Bombyx mori: one gene and its partner. The protein of the gene in region 1 interacts with the protein of each later gene in a pairwise test. Links are inferred from orthologs where the notes say so. Each region holds a gene or a part of one and is shown in the gene's direction. Other genes may lie near its edges.

The links. The genes of interacting proteins can lie anywhere in the genome.
Region 2: the proteins of SWI/SNF-related matrix-associated actin-dependent regulator of chromatin subfamily B member 1-A (region 1) and failed axon connections interact in a two-hybrid assay, tested with the Drosophila melanogaster proteins (2 studies listed by BioGRID). The link is inferred for Bombyx mori from reciprocal best matches to the Drosophila melanogaster genes Snr1 and fax.

What each region holds. Positions count from the first base shown.
Region 1 is NC_085122.1:12,050,854-12,056,035, reverse strand, and holds the start of SWI/SNF-related matrix-associated actin-dependent regulator of chromatin subfamily B member 1-A, read left to right. Parts: upstream 1-2,032; 5' UTR 2,033-2,207; coding exon 2,208-2,288; intron 2,289-3,356; coding exon 3,357-3,547; intron 3,548-4,002; coding exon 4,003-4,165; intron 4,166-4,456; coding exon 4,457-4,604; intron 4,605-5,182. Other genes in the region: putative tricarboxylate transport protein, mitochondrial, read right to left, coding at 484-682.
Region 2 is NC_085107.1:8,812,843-8,817,953, reverse strand, and holds the start of failed axon connections, read left to right. Parts: upstream 1-1,708; 5' UTR 1,709-1,949; coding exon 1,950-2,255; intron 2,256-5,111. UniProt on the Drosophila melanogaster protein: Together with Abl, involved in embryonic axonal development.

The sequences.
Region 1 (5,182 bases):
CTGAATACTTTGCAACTTCAATCTAAGCAATTATTTTCTCATTTGTAAAATATTCCTTTCAAAACATGATTTAAGTATTTAAGTAACTAATAAATAATAATCGATTAAGTAGTAGTAGTATACCTATATCGTAGTTAAGGCAGAAGAAATTCAATGCTAATTTAGAATAACCTTGAAGATATTAGAAAAAAGAACAAAGTCCATTTCCAGTTGTTTACACAGTAAAATGTACTTGTAATGGAAACCTTTGGTTTTAAATTTTAAGGTTAAAAAAGACGTTGATTAGTTACAACTTGAATTCCTGTGCTAAAGAACCCTTTATTCATAATTATTCAACTACAGATTTACGCTACAGCAGGAAAATTACGTATGACGTATATACAAAATCATAAGACAAAAATAAAATTTGAATGAATTTATGAATTGAAAAACACCAATTAGTTAACTAACTTAGTTCGGATAATTGTGGCGTGCTTTATTTACCTTTTTCATCCAATTGCAGTTGTGTTTTTACATATTCTGTTGGGAATGTAATACAAATTTCAATGCCTCCTGTAATTCCGCCGGCTACAACTCCCTTTAAGCCTACTGAACCCGAACCACCAGCCGCAGCCGCTGCACCTGTCTCCGACATCCACGGTCTGGAGAATGGGTTTTTGAATGTTCCTTGCCGTGAAGACATGGTCTCTTTTTTCGAGCACTTTTGAAATTCGCAACGACTGCGACGACACTCCCCTACGACATTTAATTTCAGACTAAAAATTTAGGTTATATTAGTTATATACAATCATACTCTATGCTAACAATATGTGTTTGTGTATAGTCTATGAACTAAATTACTTTTTGGCGGGAACGCGAGGAGTGAAGTTGTGTGATTTGTTTTATTTTGTCTATTTAGTGTTTCTTCAGGTTTAAATGTGTAATAACGGTGGTTTATTAACTGTTTAATATCTGTGAAAGTGCACAAATGTGGGAAAATGAAACAAAGCTGCTGGACGTAACTTCTCGGGTTCCTCCAAAAAGTCCACTGAAAAAATCTCAGTAAATGACCACCATTTTACTGCGATTATATTTCATCCCATATCATCTCATTTCATTAAATTCATCCCAGTTGATTAATGTCTCAAATTAATCATCTTCATTTCATTTCACTCCATATTATCATTTTTCATAAAATTAAGACTATAAAGTAAAATAAGACATGACTTAAAGGTCTTAGTTACCAGGTCATAAAATCTCTTAAAAAAAAAAAAATCAATTAAAATAGGACTTTTTGGCGGGAACGCGAGGAGTGAAGTTGTGTGATTTGTTTTATTTTGTCTATTTAGTGTTTCTTCAGGTTTAAATGTGTAATAACGGTGGTTTATTAACTGTTTAATATCTGTGAAAGTGCACAAATGTGGGAAAATGAAACAAAGCTGCTGGACGTAACTTCTCGGGTCCCTCCAAAAAGTCCATTGAAAAAATCTCAGTAAATGACCACCATTTTACTACGATTGTATTTCATCCCATATCATCTCATTTCATTAAATTTCATCCCAGTTGATTAATGTCTCAAATTAATCATCTTCATTTCATTTCACTCCATATTATCATTTTTCATAAAATTAAGAATATAAAGTAAAATAAGACATGACTTAAAGGTCTTAGATACCAGGTCATAAAATCTCTTAAAAAAAATCAAATAAAATGTTTTTTTATTTTATGACTTGGTAGCCTAGACCTTTAAGTCATTATCTTATTTTAATCTTCTTATTCTAATTTATATCTTATTATAATTTATATTCTTATTTTTATGAAAACTGATAATATGGAGTGAAATGAAATGAAATGAAATGAAGATGTCAAGAATGTCTCAAATTAATTTAAATTAATATTTGAGACATATATTAAAGGGATCAACTGGGATGAAATTAAAGGAAATAAGATGAGACGGGATGAAATATAATCTCAGTAAAATGATGGTCATTCACTGAGATTTTTTCAGTGGACTTTTGGGTGAATCCCAAGAAGTTACGTCCAGTAGCTTTCCAAAATAATATATGACTTAAAGGTGTACGTTACCAGGTCATAAAATTAAAAAAATAATTGGATACATATATACATATTCACAGAAACGATTTATAAATTTTACCCTTACCAAATTAACATTACAATTCTTGAAGTAAATGTAATTATTTTATCAAAGGAACAACACAACTACAAAAATGGCCTTACGTACGTACGGCGATAAGCCGATAAGTTTTCAAATCGAAGAAGGAGGAGACTTTTATTGTGTTGGCTCAGAGGTAAGTTCCATACATTTCTTGATTAAAAATACATCGAACTACTCGAAACATAATTTTAAAGATACGTTATTAAAAATTATTTCATTCACTAACGGAGCTAGTCTTTCTTTTGTCGAAGAACATCGTTCCTAACCTCAATCTGGTCTATTATACAAACTTGCCTTTTAGAATTATTCTTATTTCGATGAGGCTTGGTTTCCATTACTGTAAAGCAGACTATAGTTTATTGTCCATCAAAGTATAAGATAAAAAATAGAACAATAGGTCTATATCACCCTTATGAAAATGGAATACAAATTTTGGAGATAAAATAACTAAGGAATTTCTGTAGAAGGCAAAACTGAGCTGTAATAATTATGTTGCCCTTTAATGACAATTCTTTAAAACTCATTTTCTTAGCAATAATCGAGTAAGTAATCCAGTAAACAGATCCATATTTAACAAAATCCCAAATACATATACATGTACAATAACATCATTAGCTAAGAAACCTAAGATTTTAGTTAAAGAGATACAAATCATGAAAGTTTACCAGTCCATTTTAACTACTGGCTTAAGATACCATACTGTACTTTTTATCTTTTTTCTGTATCTAGTTGCATAATTCAGTGTTCATGTGAAGTTTCTCACTATAATCTTCTATTCTACAGTAGAACTTTCTAAAGCGCCATTATGAATTATATTGAATAAGTAAACGACAGTGATTGCTTGCAGTGCAAATTAAAACAAGTTGTGGCACCCAATGCTGTTTCTGCTCTTATTTTTTTAGATGAGCAATGATGTATTTTCTTCAGTGTTTCTGAATTGTATAAAAAAAGGTCTAATTTCATATTTATTATATTCATTTCATTATCATTTTTCATGGCATATTAACACTGTTCTAACTACTGTAAATTGTTATGACAAAAAATTTAAATGATTAAACAATAACAGTGGTTTTAATTAAAAGCAATGCAAAATTATATTGTGGTGTCGAAAACAGCAGTTTTAACTTGAGATTTCCAGATTTTGTATTTTGATTAGTCTTATGCCCGCTTAAAAATGCAAAAAAATTAACTATTGCCTTAGGTCGGGAATTACCTGCGCTTGTTCCGTGGGTCACTCTACAAGAAGTACCCTGGCATGTGCCGGCGTACCCTCACCAATGAAGAACGTAAGCGATTAATTGACAACGGTCTTGGTCCTCATGTGCTGTCCAGTTCAGTTTCACTGTTGAAGGCGTCAGAAGTTGAAGACATTATTGAAGGGAATGATGATAAGTACGTCATTATAAACATTTTGTGAACTATTGAAAGCGGTTAAAACCGACAATTGCTGTGTTAGCATAGACAGGTGAACGAGTTCATAATCCATCTGATGATAAGTGAAGCTACCTGAAGTAGTCAGTCGAAATATTAGACCTTTAAGTTTTGGTGAGCACCTGGCACTATTGAAGTCCACGAACGACATTAACCACTTACCATCAGAAGAATTGTATGTTTGTCTTATTTTAAGGACAATAAAAAAAAAAACAAAATGTGTGCATATCTTTCTTCTTCATCGCTCCCTCATTGCTGAGGATTGTGACTCTGTTTCAGCTGTGCCAGTCTCCATCGGTTCTGGTCAGTTGCTGTGTGCATATCAAGGAAATCTTAAATACTATGAATTGTATATGAAACAGCAGTTGTCCATTAAACTATTTACAGCTATGACACAGCTTTAAATTAATTTATAGATACAAAGCAGTGTCCGTCAGCCAAGAGTTGGCGACACCCCGTGAGAGCAAAAGCAAGAAGCCACACACTCCATCATGGCTGCCAGTCATGCCAAACTCTTCTCATTTGGATGCTGTACCCCAGGCTACTCCAATCAGCAGGAGTAGGGTGCATAATAAGAAGGTAAAATGGATGTTAAAGTCAAAACTTAAAGTCCAGTTGGGCTTCAGGTTCTGACTCCTAGGTTTATCTAGTTAATCATGTTTGACATGGGGCCACACTCTAAGGTCAACACAACACATTTAATTTAGCTTCTGATTCAGGATAGATAGATAAGATAGATAGAATATCTCAAAATCAGAGACACATCGTAAGATAAATAACAGATTTTGAAATGGAACATTGGAATTAATGTAATATACTATAGTTCTAAAGTATCATTATTAAAACTAGCATAAAATGAATACTTTTCAGGTGAGAACATTCCCACTGTGTTTCGATGACACAGACATGACTGCAATGCTGGAGAATGCTTCGCAAAAGCAGGTGCTTGTACCGATTCGATTGGACATGGAGATTGAGGGTCAAAAACTCAGGGATACATTTACATGGAATAAAAATGGTATGTTTAACTGCATTTGTTACCAATTCTGGTTGTTTATTCTCAATTTTTGATTTCAGAAAGTATTTGAATAATAGAATGTGTAATTGCTGTCTACCAAATTATAAATAGATTGGCTGTATTTACTGTGAATTGTATCGACTGTCAATTGAAAATATATAATAACATTTTCTTATATCTTTAACTATAACTATTCTTTATAAAGTTCTTTAATCATGCTTAATGAAAATTGTTGGTCTGCAGTAAGTGTTGAAGATCAGGAGGACCTTGTCCAACTGTCTTGGATCACAGAACAGTTCCAATGCGCCCTGCAAATTTGGTTAAAATATTTTTAATGTTTTATCGTTTTCATTCTATATTGTTCTTTTAGCACAACCCTTACATAAATTTAGGAATACGCTCCTTAATTTTTATATCCATAATGTGTATGTTCCCACTTTTTTTTCCTGCCTAAGCTGATAGCCTTGAGAGGCTATATCAGCGTTGCCTTAACTAGTAGGTGAGCTCACGGGGCTCAAACGTGATGACGTTGTTAACACGAACGCTAGCAAGAGCCGTGTGCTTCGCAGAATCTACCA
Region 2 (5,111 bases), on another chromosome or scaffold:
GTACCTGCCTTCGATGACTCATTTATTTTTATCGATAATGGCGTTGCGCCCGCGCAACTTTCTCACCGCCCTAGTCGGCCTATGTTTTATGACCCAAACTGCACGGACAAAATAATTCTACTATAGTAAATTACTACCTACTCAGAATAACAGTAAAAACGAAACCACTGCTTTCAGTTCATAGGCATGACATACTCCATTACGTCTTAAACAAAATATTACATAAAAAACAAGCTGTTTTAGTGTTTATTAAAATGATAATTATATTTTGCCATGTTTCAGAATTTAATTCTATTTTAAGAAAAGTGTACGCAACCTCTTTTCATCATGTTCATGACTGCTGTAAATAAATTAATCTGCTCTTAGCAGAAAATAGTGGGTTGAGAATGTACCCATTATACTCAAAGTATTGTAAAAAAGGGCACATACCATATAATTTATACCAAAACCATGAAATAACCTACATATTATATTTACATAAAACTATTTTGTACTATAGTAGTTCTATAATAAGTAAGTAGGCCATGGAAAAGTCAAACTCAGAAGTAAAGAAACTCAGAAGTAATCTAAAGTTTTCTTTTTGAAATTGTGGCGTTTGTCGTTTCTTATCCAAAAAATTTTAAGGTGATATTCGGTAATATTTTCAATAAAATGGCGGGAAACTATCGAGACGCAAAAATGTATCAATTAATATCCAACAAAACAAAATTGTACCACTTCTGCAAAGTAGGGCAATTTGTCATTAATTCATGTTTAAAAATCCACTAAATCACCTTTATGCTTGACTACCCAAATTATATTGATGTTAAAATAGGTATTTTCAAATTGCCGCCAAAAAGTTCCGTGACATATATTTTACAATGTTGTAAGATACGGAGTTTCAAATTGTGGTGACGGCTTTAATAAGATGTATTCTGAATACCATAAAATTAAACTTATTACCTTGGTGAAATTCTTTATTCACAATACTTTAATAATAATAGGAAGATTGTTCTAAAAAAAACATCAAATTATAAAACAGCTAATTCATATGTTTTCATAAACATAGACAATAATTGATAGTTTAACTTTTATTAATTTTATACTTCGGTTGGTATTTTCAGTTAATAAGTTTTGGTATCTCTTACTGCGCTTCGATTTAAAACCTGTGGTGTTTAGACGAATTAATGAAATCGTGTACTAAAAATGCTCGCTTATTGCATTAAAAATCAGTAGAGTTATATTTCTTAATTCATCAAGCGAAGATTCTAGAAAAATCTGTAAATTGCAAGGTGATTACAAAAATCTGAGTCAAAGACCTTTATATTGTACTATTACTGAAACTGGCTTGATTTTACGTATCACTTTAGTCTTAGTTCGAATCCCAGTGGTAGGGAGTATTTGACAAAATGGATTCAGGTGTACATATTTTTGTCTCTTCGAAAATAATTCTTTCTCGGAAGTGTTGAATTTGGTTTGTAACTTTACGTTAACATAAAGTTTATGGTTTCAAACGTTTCTTTCCCCGTGATTTTTTATTTTATAGGAAAAATATGGCATAATATAAATAACATTTTCGTATTTAAATTAGTTAATTAGTAGATTTAAATCTACGACAAAACTTATGCATTAGCATTACATAATTGTTTTGAATTCTCATCTAAAAAAAAACCGTGAATATACGGATAACTTTAAATATCTGGCAAGGATGTTGCTAAGCAACCAGCTATGTAGCTGAATCGTGGCCCAAGCCCGGCGAACACGAAACCACACGACGTTCGAACTCGGCGACGCTGCGCGTGGCTTCATTTAGTTTGCTTGAAACAAATTATTGTAGAGCAGACCCCAGACAGGAGCAGCCGGCAGGCAGTTCGGTTGTTGCTTCGCGCTCTAACGGCGGTGATCGTTAGGCTTGCGATTCGTGTTAATAACTGTGCTGATTCCAATTACAAAACAAATTTAATTCAAACATGACTGTTGAAGTTACGAATAACATCCCTGAAAACGCTCCTGAGAAAGAGAAAGACATGAAAGAGGACGCGCCGGCCGATAATGGCCAATCCAAAGAGGCTCCATTACCTGATGAGAAAGGCGATGAAAAATCTGAAGAGAAAAAATCCGAACCAGCTCAGCCGAAACCAACAGTCCATAAAACAAATTTTGAGAAAGACGTAGTATATCTCTATCAATTTTCGCGCACTCCTTTGTTACCGTCGACATCCCCATATTGCTTAAAAGTTGAAACATGGCTTCGTTTGGCCGGCATTAAGTACGAGGTAAGTTGCATTTTTGTTACTTATTAATAATTATTATTTTCCTTTCGTAGATCATTTCCTGCTTTCCCCAAACCAATATTTTAAGCTGCGCTGTAGATTGGCCCTTTTGAGATGACCCACCCCTCCGAAAGTTTACTTTGTTTTTTAATTTATATTTTAACTTGGCTAAATTTGGCGAAGTTTGCTTAGCGAATGTATATTTATTTACTTTCGAAGTTTATTTTATAGCCGCAGACTGGTTTTTCTTGTTTTCCCTTGCATGAAGTGACACAAAGATTGCATTCCTAATTTATCAATTTATTTTTAAACCGTACGCACATAACTTATCTGGGGTCGAAACATTAAAGAGACTCCGCGTCGCCATACCATGAAGATAGTGTCCCTTTCACCGTGTCATTTTTGAGATGCCTACAAAAGCTTTCTCTAAAGTAATATTAATGCACTATACATTAAATTATATAAATATATTAAATTTAGTTTTATTAGTCCGGAAACGTGATAACGGGTACTAGTACTTACTTGAGACTATAGTCTATTGTTCTTCTTGCATAAAGGAATTTGCAAAAGTTACCGATTTCGATGAACGTTCATGCCTTATAAAATTGATTATACTTAATCTAAACTAGTATAGATTTTTCATCGCTGCGATAACGGCAGGCAGTACATAGTAAAACCATTTTACAACCTTTTTTAAACAAGTAAAACCAGTATAAATTGAGCTCCCATTCGCGGGTTCACCTGAATTCACGTGTGGGCGTTCTATATTTATAAATAGAAGTAATCAATATATCTATAAATACAACCTCCATTGAGGCCTTTCTGATTAAAAACAAAAAAGCCTAGTAATATTTTGAAGAAAAAAAAACCGTATATTTTGTAGACGTTCCACAAACGTGATTAAAAAACGTTCAAACATTCTTTTATTTTGAGTTCATTTTTGATGGTTGGAAAGTTGATACTCTCAAAAATCGTACTTTGGAATCTGATCATCACGGTGTGGTGAAATTTACATGCTAGCTTCGGGAGGCACAAAATGTGGCCCGCGACCGTCTGTCCATTTACACATACCGATTTTTAGAAGAAAAAATAAATATATTAAAATATACGATTGAACTACACATATTACAATATCTAAACCGACACAAAAATAACGTTTAAACATTTTTTGAATTAGGTACGTACGTTTTCTTATTTTAAATGTAGAAACACAATAACAGAATAGAATAGAAGAACAATAACGCTTTGTTTTGTGTATATTGGTAGGACGTTCATAAATAAAGACATTTATTAGAAAAAAAAAGCGAAACAAAAAAGATGAAATAAATGGCATAGTATATTTTCCGTTAAGGAGTAATTTTTTTTTCTGAATCCCACCGCCTCTTCCACGCTTGGATTTTCGAAGAATTATTGGAGATAATACTTCTAGAGCTATTGGAGATGATATCACTGCTTTATCTGTATATCACTAGAGTCTACCAGTTTTACCTGGTACCAGCTACTACAAATACGGTGCGTTTTCTTTCAGATATCATTTCTATGCGTATTGGATGGAAATAAGCTTCTCTGTACGCTATTTCACTAGCTTTACATGTAATAATTTTTTTTTCTTTGGCAGATTTCTGATATTATCAACAATTTTTACATGTTATAAAGTACCGACATGCTGTAATGATCTAACCCTAATTGCAGTATACCTACCTTATTTTTCAAAATTTTAACATCAATTAAGAAGAATTCACAATCCTGTCTTCTGGTCTTAATCTAGTTTGACTAAATTTTGAGTTAACAAAACCGAAGCCTTGTTCTCGTAAATGGCCACACGAAATACAATTCACAAAAAAAATACATTACAAAAACATGATCCTGATGAGATTGATCGCCGGAATACGGATATTTCCCATTCTTAATTATTTATTACTTTCAACGAAACACCAAAGATCATCAAAAAAGCAACTTTATGAATTAAGAAAAAATAGTGGTGGAATAACTAAGCAACCTCTATTTTAAAGATGATTTTGTTAGTACGAGGAAAATTTTCGAGAAGTTCTCAGTGCGCTGCGTGCGCAGTATAGCGCTATCTCTGTTGAATGTTTCGTTGACGTCATGAAATATTGTACCCACTTTATGACAGTAACTCCCAATACATGTAATGACCACTATTGATTTTAACAGTATACAGCTCGTTAATCATAGACAATTAATCTAATTAAGGACACAGCTTGTGCGATAAATAACTCGGTATCTCAATTATTACCAATATTTTGTTGAAAATCATTGTCTGGAGATAACACCCCAAAAAATATAAAAAATAATTGTTGAAAAAACGAATGTTCTCATTATGAATAAAAACGATTTCGGGAATGACTGATTTTCTCGAGGTAGGTATTGTTGATTACTAACTATTATTATCTTGGAGAATATTATCATTGTCAGACGATGTCCTTCTTCAAACGAGGCTTGTGGAAAGTATTAAACGGTAGGTAGCGGCTTGGCTGTGCCCCTGGCATTGCTGACGTCCATGAGCGACGGTAACCACTCACCATCAGGTGGGCCGCATGCTCGTCTGCATATACGGCAATAAAAAAAAAGTACTGTAAAGGAATATTCCCTAAAATTAGAGTTTTTACACAAATTATGTGGGTGTAGTGCAATGATTGTATGAATCTAGCTTTGTACCTCAATATTGAGTGTTCCTCAAAAATGAAAAAATTATGTACGTATGTATTTATATTTTATGTATAAATATTGAAATATTGTATTGATTGATTCAGAATACCTTTATATTGTTCTTGCATTTGTAAATTAAAGCACCTATTTATTAATAACACACAGAAGTTAGTAATAAATAGGTGCTTT